2 linked regions of the Sus scrofa genome follow. The protein of the gene in region 1 interacts with the protein of each later gene in a biochemical or structural test. Links are inferred from orthologs where the notes say so. Each region holds a gene or a part of one and is shown in the gene's direction. Other genes may lie near its edges. The genes, in order: AREG and S100A4.

What was found.
Region 2: the proteins of AREG (region 1) and S100A4 form a complex in vitro, tested with the Homo sapiens proteins (2 studies listed by IntAct, with this or other methods). The link is inferred for Sus scrofa from reciprocal best matches to the Homo sapiens genes AREG and S100A4.

The regions. Positions count from the first base shown.
Region 1 is NC_010450.4:70,416,311-70,420,744, forward strand, and holds the start of AREG (amphiregulin precursor), read left to right. Parts: upstream 1-1,624; 5' UTR 1,625-1,813; coding exon 1,814-1,874; intron 1,875-3,012; coding exon 3,013-3,243; intron 3,244-4,434.
Region 2 is NC_010446.5:96,087,605-96,091,636, forward strand, and holds S100A4 (protein S100-A4), read left to right. Parts: upstream 1-1,637; coding exon 1,638-1,778; intron 1,779-3,264; coding exon 3,265-3,429; downstream 3,430-4,032. UniProt on the Homo sapiens protein: Calcium-binding protein that plays a role in various cellular processes including motility, angiogenesis, cell differentiation, apoptosis, and autophagy.

The DNA.
Region 1 (4,434 bases):
TTTTCCTTCTTATCATCTTTCTTATGTATCTGCCTCTCTGTTATTACTTTCCTATATATCTGACTCTCACCACAATGAACTACTGGAGAGCAGGGGGCTGGTTATCATTTAATCTCCCTCCTTAATACCTCCCTGCATAAAAATAAAACAGGTGGATGACATAAAATACGCTCTCAACAAATGTCCAGTAGGTGAGAAGACGTGATTTGTGACTGTTTATTTTATCCTACTAAACATATCAGGCTATTTAGCCTACTTTACTATGATACACCATTAAAAATAGATTTAAAATTTTATTTTAAAAATAAACTTTTAAAAAATTTCCCAGAATTAGGACAGAGGCACTGTGACCCGCATTCCTAAAAGAGCTGTTTTACTGGAATAGTCACAGAAGAGATATGTATCTTCAGGACAAAGAAACACTAGGAGAATAATGCTTTTTTCCTCTTCCTCAAGTCAAGAAAAATCCAGTTCTGGAATTGTAGATACATCAAACTTAGTCAAATGAAGCAATTCTCTCCCTCTCATTTTATCTACTTGTCATGATTAAAATGTCCTACTAGATTCTAAATAGGCACTAAAATCTGGCCCTTTTATCTGGGGATTGCAGAGGCAAACTCTTGGGCACTACCCTTCATGCCAACACACTACCAGTAGAGATTACTCCTGTAGGCTAACTATTGTTCTCCCCAGAAACTTTCTTTCCAAAGAGAAGTTTAGCCTAAATCCCTTTATCAGAGAGGAAAGAGATTTTAGAGTCAGTGGAACTCGAAGTTAGGTCCATCTGGCTTTTGCCATGACCAGCGGGGTAAAGTACTCCTTGCTTGGTAAAGCTGACAGGTGTCCCTCTTGTAAAACATAGAAAAAAATGATACTTGCCTAGCAAGGTTCTGGAGTGACCTGGTGTAGGTAATATGCTTAGTGTACAGTTCCACAACATAAATTAATGATCAATAAACTATCATTTTGACAAGGACCCTAGGTTATATAAAGAAATGGGATAAATGGGGAGGGAGATGATTGGAAATGCAGGCTGCTTCACAGTAGTGGAGGGGAATCTCCAGGGTTGAGATCCAGGCCCATGGTATACAAAACAGCTTCTCCTTAGGAGGCATGGCTCTCTAGTCATGGAATAAACGTCATTATTCGCATTAAAGACATGGGGTGGGGCTTTCCTTGTTAAGTCACTCTTGGGCTTTAAGTAATTTTATATTTTAATAGGAAATTTTCTAGTTAATCCCTGTCTGTTGTAATATTCAGATCAACCAAAGCATAATCTGAAGGTTTTTTTTTTTTTTTCCTCCAGATAGTTTGAAAATTTGGGATTTCTGAATGTCAGATATTAGCTTGCAACTCCACCCTTGCTCTCAAATAAGAATTGGTCTTTTTTTTTTTTTCCCCAGCCGGCAGCAAGGGTCTTCATTTTCACTTCCTCCCAGCGGCTCTCTGCGCTCCGAGGAGGTGGGGCGCCTGGCATCCGTTTGTGGTTTTGGGGTAGTAACCTGTCCTGGGGCGGCCGCCCGCCTCCACCCTCCGCGGCGACCGTGACGTCACGGGCGATGCCCGGGTCCCGCCCGGCCTATAAAGCCACTGGTGCGCGCCGCGCCTCCGGAATGTTCGCACACCTTGTGCGGGAGCCGGAGCCCAGGGAATCCCGAGGCGAGCTCCAGGCGCTGCCTCCAGCGCCCGAGCCCGGCCGGGCCTCTGAGCACAGCTGCTCGGCGCCCCTGGTCCCCGGTCACCTCCTCCCGCCCGCCCGCAGCTCCCGGCCGAGTTGCCCCAGAGACCGCGACGCCACAGCTCCGCGGGACCAATGAGAGCTCCGCTGCTGCCGCCGGCGCCCGTGGTGCTGTCACTCTTGATCCTCTGCTCAGGTGAGGACATCCCGGCTCTGAGCTGCTGAGCACTTCTCCCAGCCGGGGCAAAACGGTCGCTCCTTGAATTTTGCTGCTGATTCTCTAAAAAATCGCCATTTGGCGGCCCTGGTTCTGTCTGGTGGGAGGTGACCTTGGTCCCTCCCTCTGTACGTTACTCCCTGGGAGTGGGCAGGTGTATCTTAGATGTTCCAGGCCATCAAGAGGGGGCCGGAAACTCCTTGTACTTTTACTTTAGTCCAGCTGAAGGATCTCCTGCTTAGAGAGCCTGTGAGCCAACCCTTCGCTTGACCGATAAAGAAACCAACCGACGTCCAGAGGTGAAGTGATTTCCACAGATTTTGGAGTAGAGTAGTTAAATCCTGGAAGGAGACGCGCAGCCTTCTGCCTCGATTCTCCATCTCCTCTGTCAAGTACTTTTGTTTTTTCCCTTTCTAGAGGGTTTCGCATCGTCCCAGAGAGAAGTTAAAAGCACCACTTTGACACTGTTTTGTTTAGATCTAAAAGATAAAGCAGGGACTTGAAACTCTGGCCCCCAAATCTTAACTTCATCTCTAGTTTCTTCTCTTTGTGAGAACAGTAATAAACAGTGGCAATAAGGAGAATTATAATCAATTTCTATTTTCATTACTTTTTAACATTTCCTGTACATAGTCTTCTTAAACGTGAGCATATGTTAAGAAAACCCGGTATTTATTTCTAGAACCTGTTTATTAAAATAGGACAGGTAGCATCCTAACAAACACAAATGCATTTCATATGTGAAGTCATGGCAATGTTTAGATATTACCTGTTAAATAAGTGTAGCAACTTGATTTACCTCTTCTGCAGTATTTTGTTTCTTTCTTTCTTTCTTTCTTTTTTTTTTTTTTGATGTGGGAATTAATGTACATTCTCTATGGAAATGAAAACCTTAATGAAAGAAGCTCTGTCATTGGAACAGCTGAGTTTGCTTCTTGGCAAAAATGTGAAGTTGCTTTCATAAAGTGACTCAATCATAAACAATAGCACATGTGCAATAACTGCTTTGCTATCAAAAGATAAACATTTCTCCTGCGCGCTGCTCCTGCGCTCTGCTGACTGGGGAGAAAAGACATTCTGCTTTATCTTCTCTTCCATTTTGCCCTTGTTCCCATAGCCCATTATGCTGCTGGACTGGACGTCAACGGCACCTCCTCTGGGAAAGGAGAACCATTTTCTGGGGACCATGGTGCTGAGGCATTTGAGGTGACCTCCAGAAGTGAGATGTCCTCGGGAAGTGAGGCTCCCCCTGCTAGCGAAATGCCTTCTGGTAGCGACTATGACTATGCTGAAGAGTACGATAACGAACCGCACATATCTGGCTATATTGTAGATGATTCAGTCAGAGGTGAGTAGAGGGTAAGGTGACAATGTAGCCAGTGAGATGTGTGTTTGTATAAGACAAGCTGCTTCAAAAGAAAAGCACTCCCCGATCTCCTAGTGGCTTTCTTGCCCTCTCTTTCCTGATCCACTGGCTAAATTGAGATGGAAAGAGCTATTCGTGGCCACATCCTATATGTCTGCAGCTCTAACAAACGTTTTATGTCTAGGAAGGCTAATCTTTGCAAAACATTATTCAGTGGGAGTTGTTATCCATTTACAGACGTGAGAACCGAAGCTCAGAAAGGTTAAGCATTCTTCCCAGTGTTCCAGAGCCAGGATGAGGACTCCAGTCTGTTTGATTCCAGATACTATGCTCTTTCATACCCTGCCACGTGACCCTCAAATGAGGGTCCAGTCCTATCTATGTTGTATCTCAAGTTTTATATTCACTCCCCTCCACCGTTTCCCCCCAAATAACTGCATTTTTAGCACAAATAAGGGAACAGAAGTAATGGGAAAGGAACGATTGGACCTTAGCCTTTAAGGATAAGGTGTTGCGAAATTGGTAATAATAATAGTCATACCACCTTCTGGAAATAATAAAAGAAGGACAAGTATGCGTGGATTATGTATTGATAGAATCACTCTTTAATCCCAAATCCCATTTGTCAGTTAAATAATGTGACCCATAGTTTTCTTCTCTTTGGCTGTTATCTGATCATTTTAAAAAAGCATTTGCTTAAAAGGAAGTTACCAAAGGAAGAGGTCAGTCTTGTTACCCTCATGTTACTTTGGAGTTTGAGGGCAGAACAGGTCATCAGCAAATCAGATCTAAGTATCCTAGGAGCCTCCACTACATAGGCAAGACTTACAGCCCTCTCTTTCCTGATCTTAGTTTCCATGGCTCCTCCTCCTCTCTCTGGCTCCCAGAACTGGTGAAGGGAGAGAGGGTGATACCATAGGGACAGTGACTGGAGGAAGAGGCAGGTGGAGAGAGTTTTACTGAATACTCCATGTTATCTGCCTTTGGAGCTTATGCTCTTCTATAAGGTGAGGAAGGAGTCTGTCTATAATTCTTATTTTGGGAAGGGAGGAGATTAGACCATCAAGACTTAGAAATGGTTCTCTTAAAGCTATTTCAAGTTGTTAACATTTCAAAAGGCCAAACACATTGTTGGTAGTGAAAATGGCTAGGGCTTAACGTTCCAACGCATTG
Region 2 (4,032 bases), on another chromosome or scaffold:
TCCCCTCCCCATTCCATTGCTACCTCATCCAGATCTTTCTCCAGGGAAGTGCCTGTGGGGTGCGGTTGGGGGACCCAGCACCTCCTTTGGGTGTTGGCTTGTTCTTCCTTCCAGACACCCCCAGCTCCTGTCCTGGGCTTCACTCAGGAGGGTGGAGAGCCCTTTGGGGAGTGGAAGGGCAGTCTGAGCTGTCCCTAGCACTGAGCGTGGGGTCCCCTCCCCGTGTTGGGCAGCCACATGCCAGGGCACTTTCCCACCACCCCTAGTCCCCTTTCCTCTGTTCTGGCTTCCCCAGAGACCACCGGCACCCCAGGCCCCAGGCACTGACTGCCCCTTCCTCCAGCTCCCTAAAACTCAAGTGTCCACCCCACAGAGGCCCCTCCCTGTGCCCACTGGGGCTCTCCCATGGTCCCCCCGCCTCCCCGTGCCCGCCCTGGGCAGGAAGCTGGGTTTCCAGGCTGGGCTGGTGGAGGGGGCCGGCAGCGTTTACCGCATCTGACCACGATAGGAGGGAGGGCTGTCTCCTGCTCTCCCCCAGCCCCTGCATGGGCAGGGCCCCGCCAGGGTATAAATAGGTCAGGCTGCTGGGCTTCCCCACTCTTCCTCTCGCCCCAACCCTCTCTCCTCTGCGCTTCCTCTCTCTTGGCCTAGTGAGTTGTGGTCGGCCTGGTGAGTTGTGGTTGCCTGACTGGCACACGAGGGGGGGTCAGGCTGAGGCTCGGTGCAGGAGAAGCAGAGGCTGGTGGGCACCAGATGTGCTAAGTGGGTCGGGATATGAGATTCTGATGGGAAGGCTCTTGGGTGGTGTGTGTGTGTGTTTGTGCGTGCGTGTGTGTGCACGTGCATGTGCATGCCAGAGAGACGCAAAAATTAAAAGTAAGAGCGAGGAGCAGGTGGCTGATGGGAGCTGTCGCAGCGGTACTGGGATGCTGGGGCTTGCCTGTGTGGTGGCTGTAGTAGGTTTTGGGATGCTTGTGACCGGTGGGTGTGCACATTGGCTCATGTTTGCTGCGTTGCACAAGCCAGTGTATGCACACTCGGGCATGGGAAGCACAGTGAAGGCAGTAGGCGATGGCAGGCTTTTGTTTCCTTGTGTCCTGGGAGCTTCTGCCCTGCACACAGCAGCCCAGCTCAAGGGAGGGTGGCCTCCCCATCCCTCCCCTGCATCCGCGTGCGCCTCTGCCACCTCATCCTGCCCCTCCCTATGCAGTGCCGGGCCGCTGGTTTTTTCCGCTACAGGCCCCTGGGCAGATCTCCAGCAGTGTCGCCCAACCCAGCGCTGTGAGAGAGAGAATGGGCCAGGGTGGGGCTGCTGGGGGCTGAGCCTGGGAGTGAAGGGCCCGAGGGAGGAGGGGTGGAGAAAGGCTCTGGTTAAACGGACTGCCTGCAACCCGGAACCTGCCATCCTGGCCCGCAGGTGTTCACTGCCCCAAGCACGAACTTCCCAAGTGTGCACAGCCACCCCGCCAGGAGCCGAGCCCCACCTTTCAGGGCTCCCTCTTGGGTGGAAGCAGAGTCTCTCCAAGGGCTCCCTGAGGGATGGAGGTGGGGGCATTCTGAATACATAGCTGGGGGCAGGGTTGGGGGGGGGGATAAGGATGTCTCTGTGATCCTGCCCCCAGATCCTGACTGCTGCCATGGCCTACCCCCTGGAGAAGGCCCTCGATGTGATGGTGTCCACCTTCCACAAGTACTCAGGCAAGGAGGGTGACAAGTTCAAGCTCAACAAGTCTGAGCTAAAGGAGTTGCTGACCCGGGAGCTGCCCAGCTTCCTGGGGGTGAGTGATGCTGAGTGGGGCGGAGCGGGGTGGTCTTCAGGACTTCAGGAGCATCAGCAACCGGGGCCTCTCTGGCTGACATGGGCAAGTGGGGGCAGAGAGCTTGCTCTGGCTGCCTAGTGAGCACCCACTGCTCACTTCCTGGCCCCCAGCCGAAAGAGGCACAATGGACCTGGAGGGAAGCTGAAGCTCAGAGATACTAAGTCACTTCCCTAAGTAGTTCGTGTATAAAGCTGAGATCCATGAATCATGATGGTCTGACTCTTGCCATCAATCCAGCTATGAGCCATTTTTAAAAATAAACACTCTATCAAAGTTTCTTTCTTTCCCTCCCTTCCTTCTTTCCTTCCTTCCTTCCTTCCTTCCTTCTTTCTTTCTTTCCTTCTTCCCTTCTTTCTTTCTTCCCTTCTTTCTCTGACCGCACCTGCAGCATGCAGAAGTTCCTAGGCCAGGGATGGAACCTGCGCCACAGCTGTAACCAGAGCCACAGCAGTGACAAGGCTGGATCCTTAACCTGTTGAGCCATGAGGGAACTCTGCCACCTTCTTTTTAAAACTGATGTGTAGTTGATTTTCAACGCTGTGTTAGTTTCAGGTATACAGCAAAATAATTCAGTTGTACATACATGCATATTTTTTCAGATTCTTTTCCATTATAGGTTATGACAAGATATTGCATATAGTTCCCTGTGCTATAGAGTAAATCCCTGTTGCCTTTCCTGTTTCATATATAAAAGTATATATTTGTTAATGCCATACTCCTAATTTGACCCTCTCCCCTATAAACCATTTTTGAGTTTCTCTTTGGCTTGTGAATGTGAAGATACACACATACCTACAGACACACCCCAGCGTAATCACAGTTACCATCTGTATCAACCTTTGTACAATTTATGCATTGCTTTCATGACCACTGTCTAACTGGAGTCTTTTTTTTTTTTTTTTTTTTTTTTTTTTGGTCTTTTTGTCTTTTTGCCATTTCTTGGGCTGCTCCCACGGCATATGGAGGTTCCCAGGCTAGGGGTCGAATTGGAGCCATAGCCACCAGCCTACACCAGAGCCTCAGCAACGCGGGATCCAAGCCGTGTCTGAAACCTATACCACAGGTCACGGCAAAGCTGGATCCTTAACCCACTGAGCAAAGTCAGGGATCGAACCTGCACCCTCATGGTTCCTAGTCGGATTGGTTAACCACTGAGCCATGACGGGAACTCTTCTAACCAGATTCTTAAAATGACCTTGGCAGACGATGTTGTAGTCCCCTTTTCCAGGGGCTTCCAGGTACCCAGACTTCCTCATCTGAAGGGCAGATCTCCTCCACGCCCTCGCCTAGCCCTGAGGGCTGGAGGTTCAAAGCTCCCCCCGGACCCACAGCCTGCCTGTGCCTTCCTGAGGTCCCATCTGGAGCTAGTCTCAGCTCTGCTCCCCCTGCCCCCACCCTGCCCCTCCTGCTTCCAGTTTCTACCCGCAGCCTCTTCCCCCTGCAGAAAAGGACGGATGAAGCTGCTTTCCAGAAGCTGATGAGCAACCTGGACAGCAACAGGGACAACGAGGTGGACTTCCAGGAGTACTGCGTCTTCCTGTCCTGCATCGCCATGATGTGCAACGAGTTTTTTGAAGGCTTCCCTGATAAGCAGCCCCGGAAGAAGTGAGGGCTCCTCGGATGTGGGTGGGGGCCCTGCCAGCTGGGAGGGGGTCTTCCCTGACAGAAAGGGCACAGTGCCTCACCGTGGCTCTTCCTGACCTGATCAAGTTCAATAAAGATTCTGAAAGCTATAAGACTGATGGTCTGAGAGGGTGGGATGGGGCCTGAGGGATATGGGGGGTGTGTGGGTGGGAGGGGTACTGGCAGGTTTGCTGCTGTTTTGTGAAGAGTGGAGAGCAGACTGGTGAAGGTGGGAGAGGGATGCGTGACCGTGCATGGGTATGTGGGACAGACTTGACTCAGGATGGGGCTGAAGGCAGGGAAAGGGACCCCAGAGGCTTGGACCGCCCCAGCTGTAGGATCTCGGCCAGGGCACTCACCCATCCCATCTCCCCAACGTTGCCTCCAGCAGGACCGCAGACTGAAGCTGGGATGGGATGGAAGGTCACATCTGTTCTTGGTTGGGGTCTGGGAAGGAGTGTGGGCGCCCTGGGGATGGTGGGGGAAGGGCTGAGTCACGGGGAGGAAGTCGTGAGGCCAGAAGGGGGAGGGGGAGGAGGGCTCGGACCTGACATTGACAGCCCAGGCCCTGCCTAGCCACCCCTTCCAG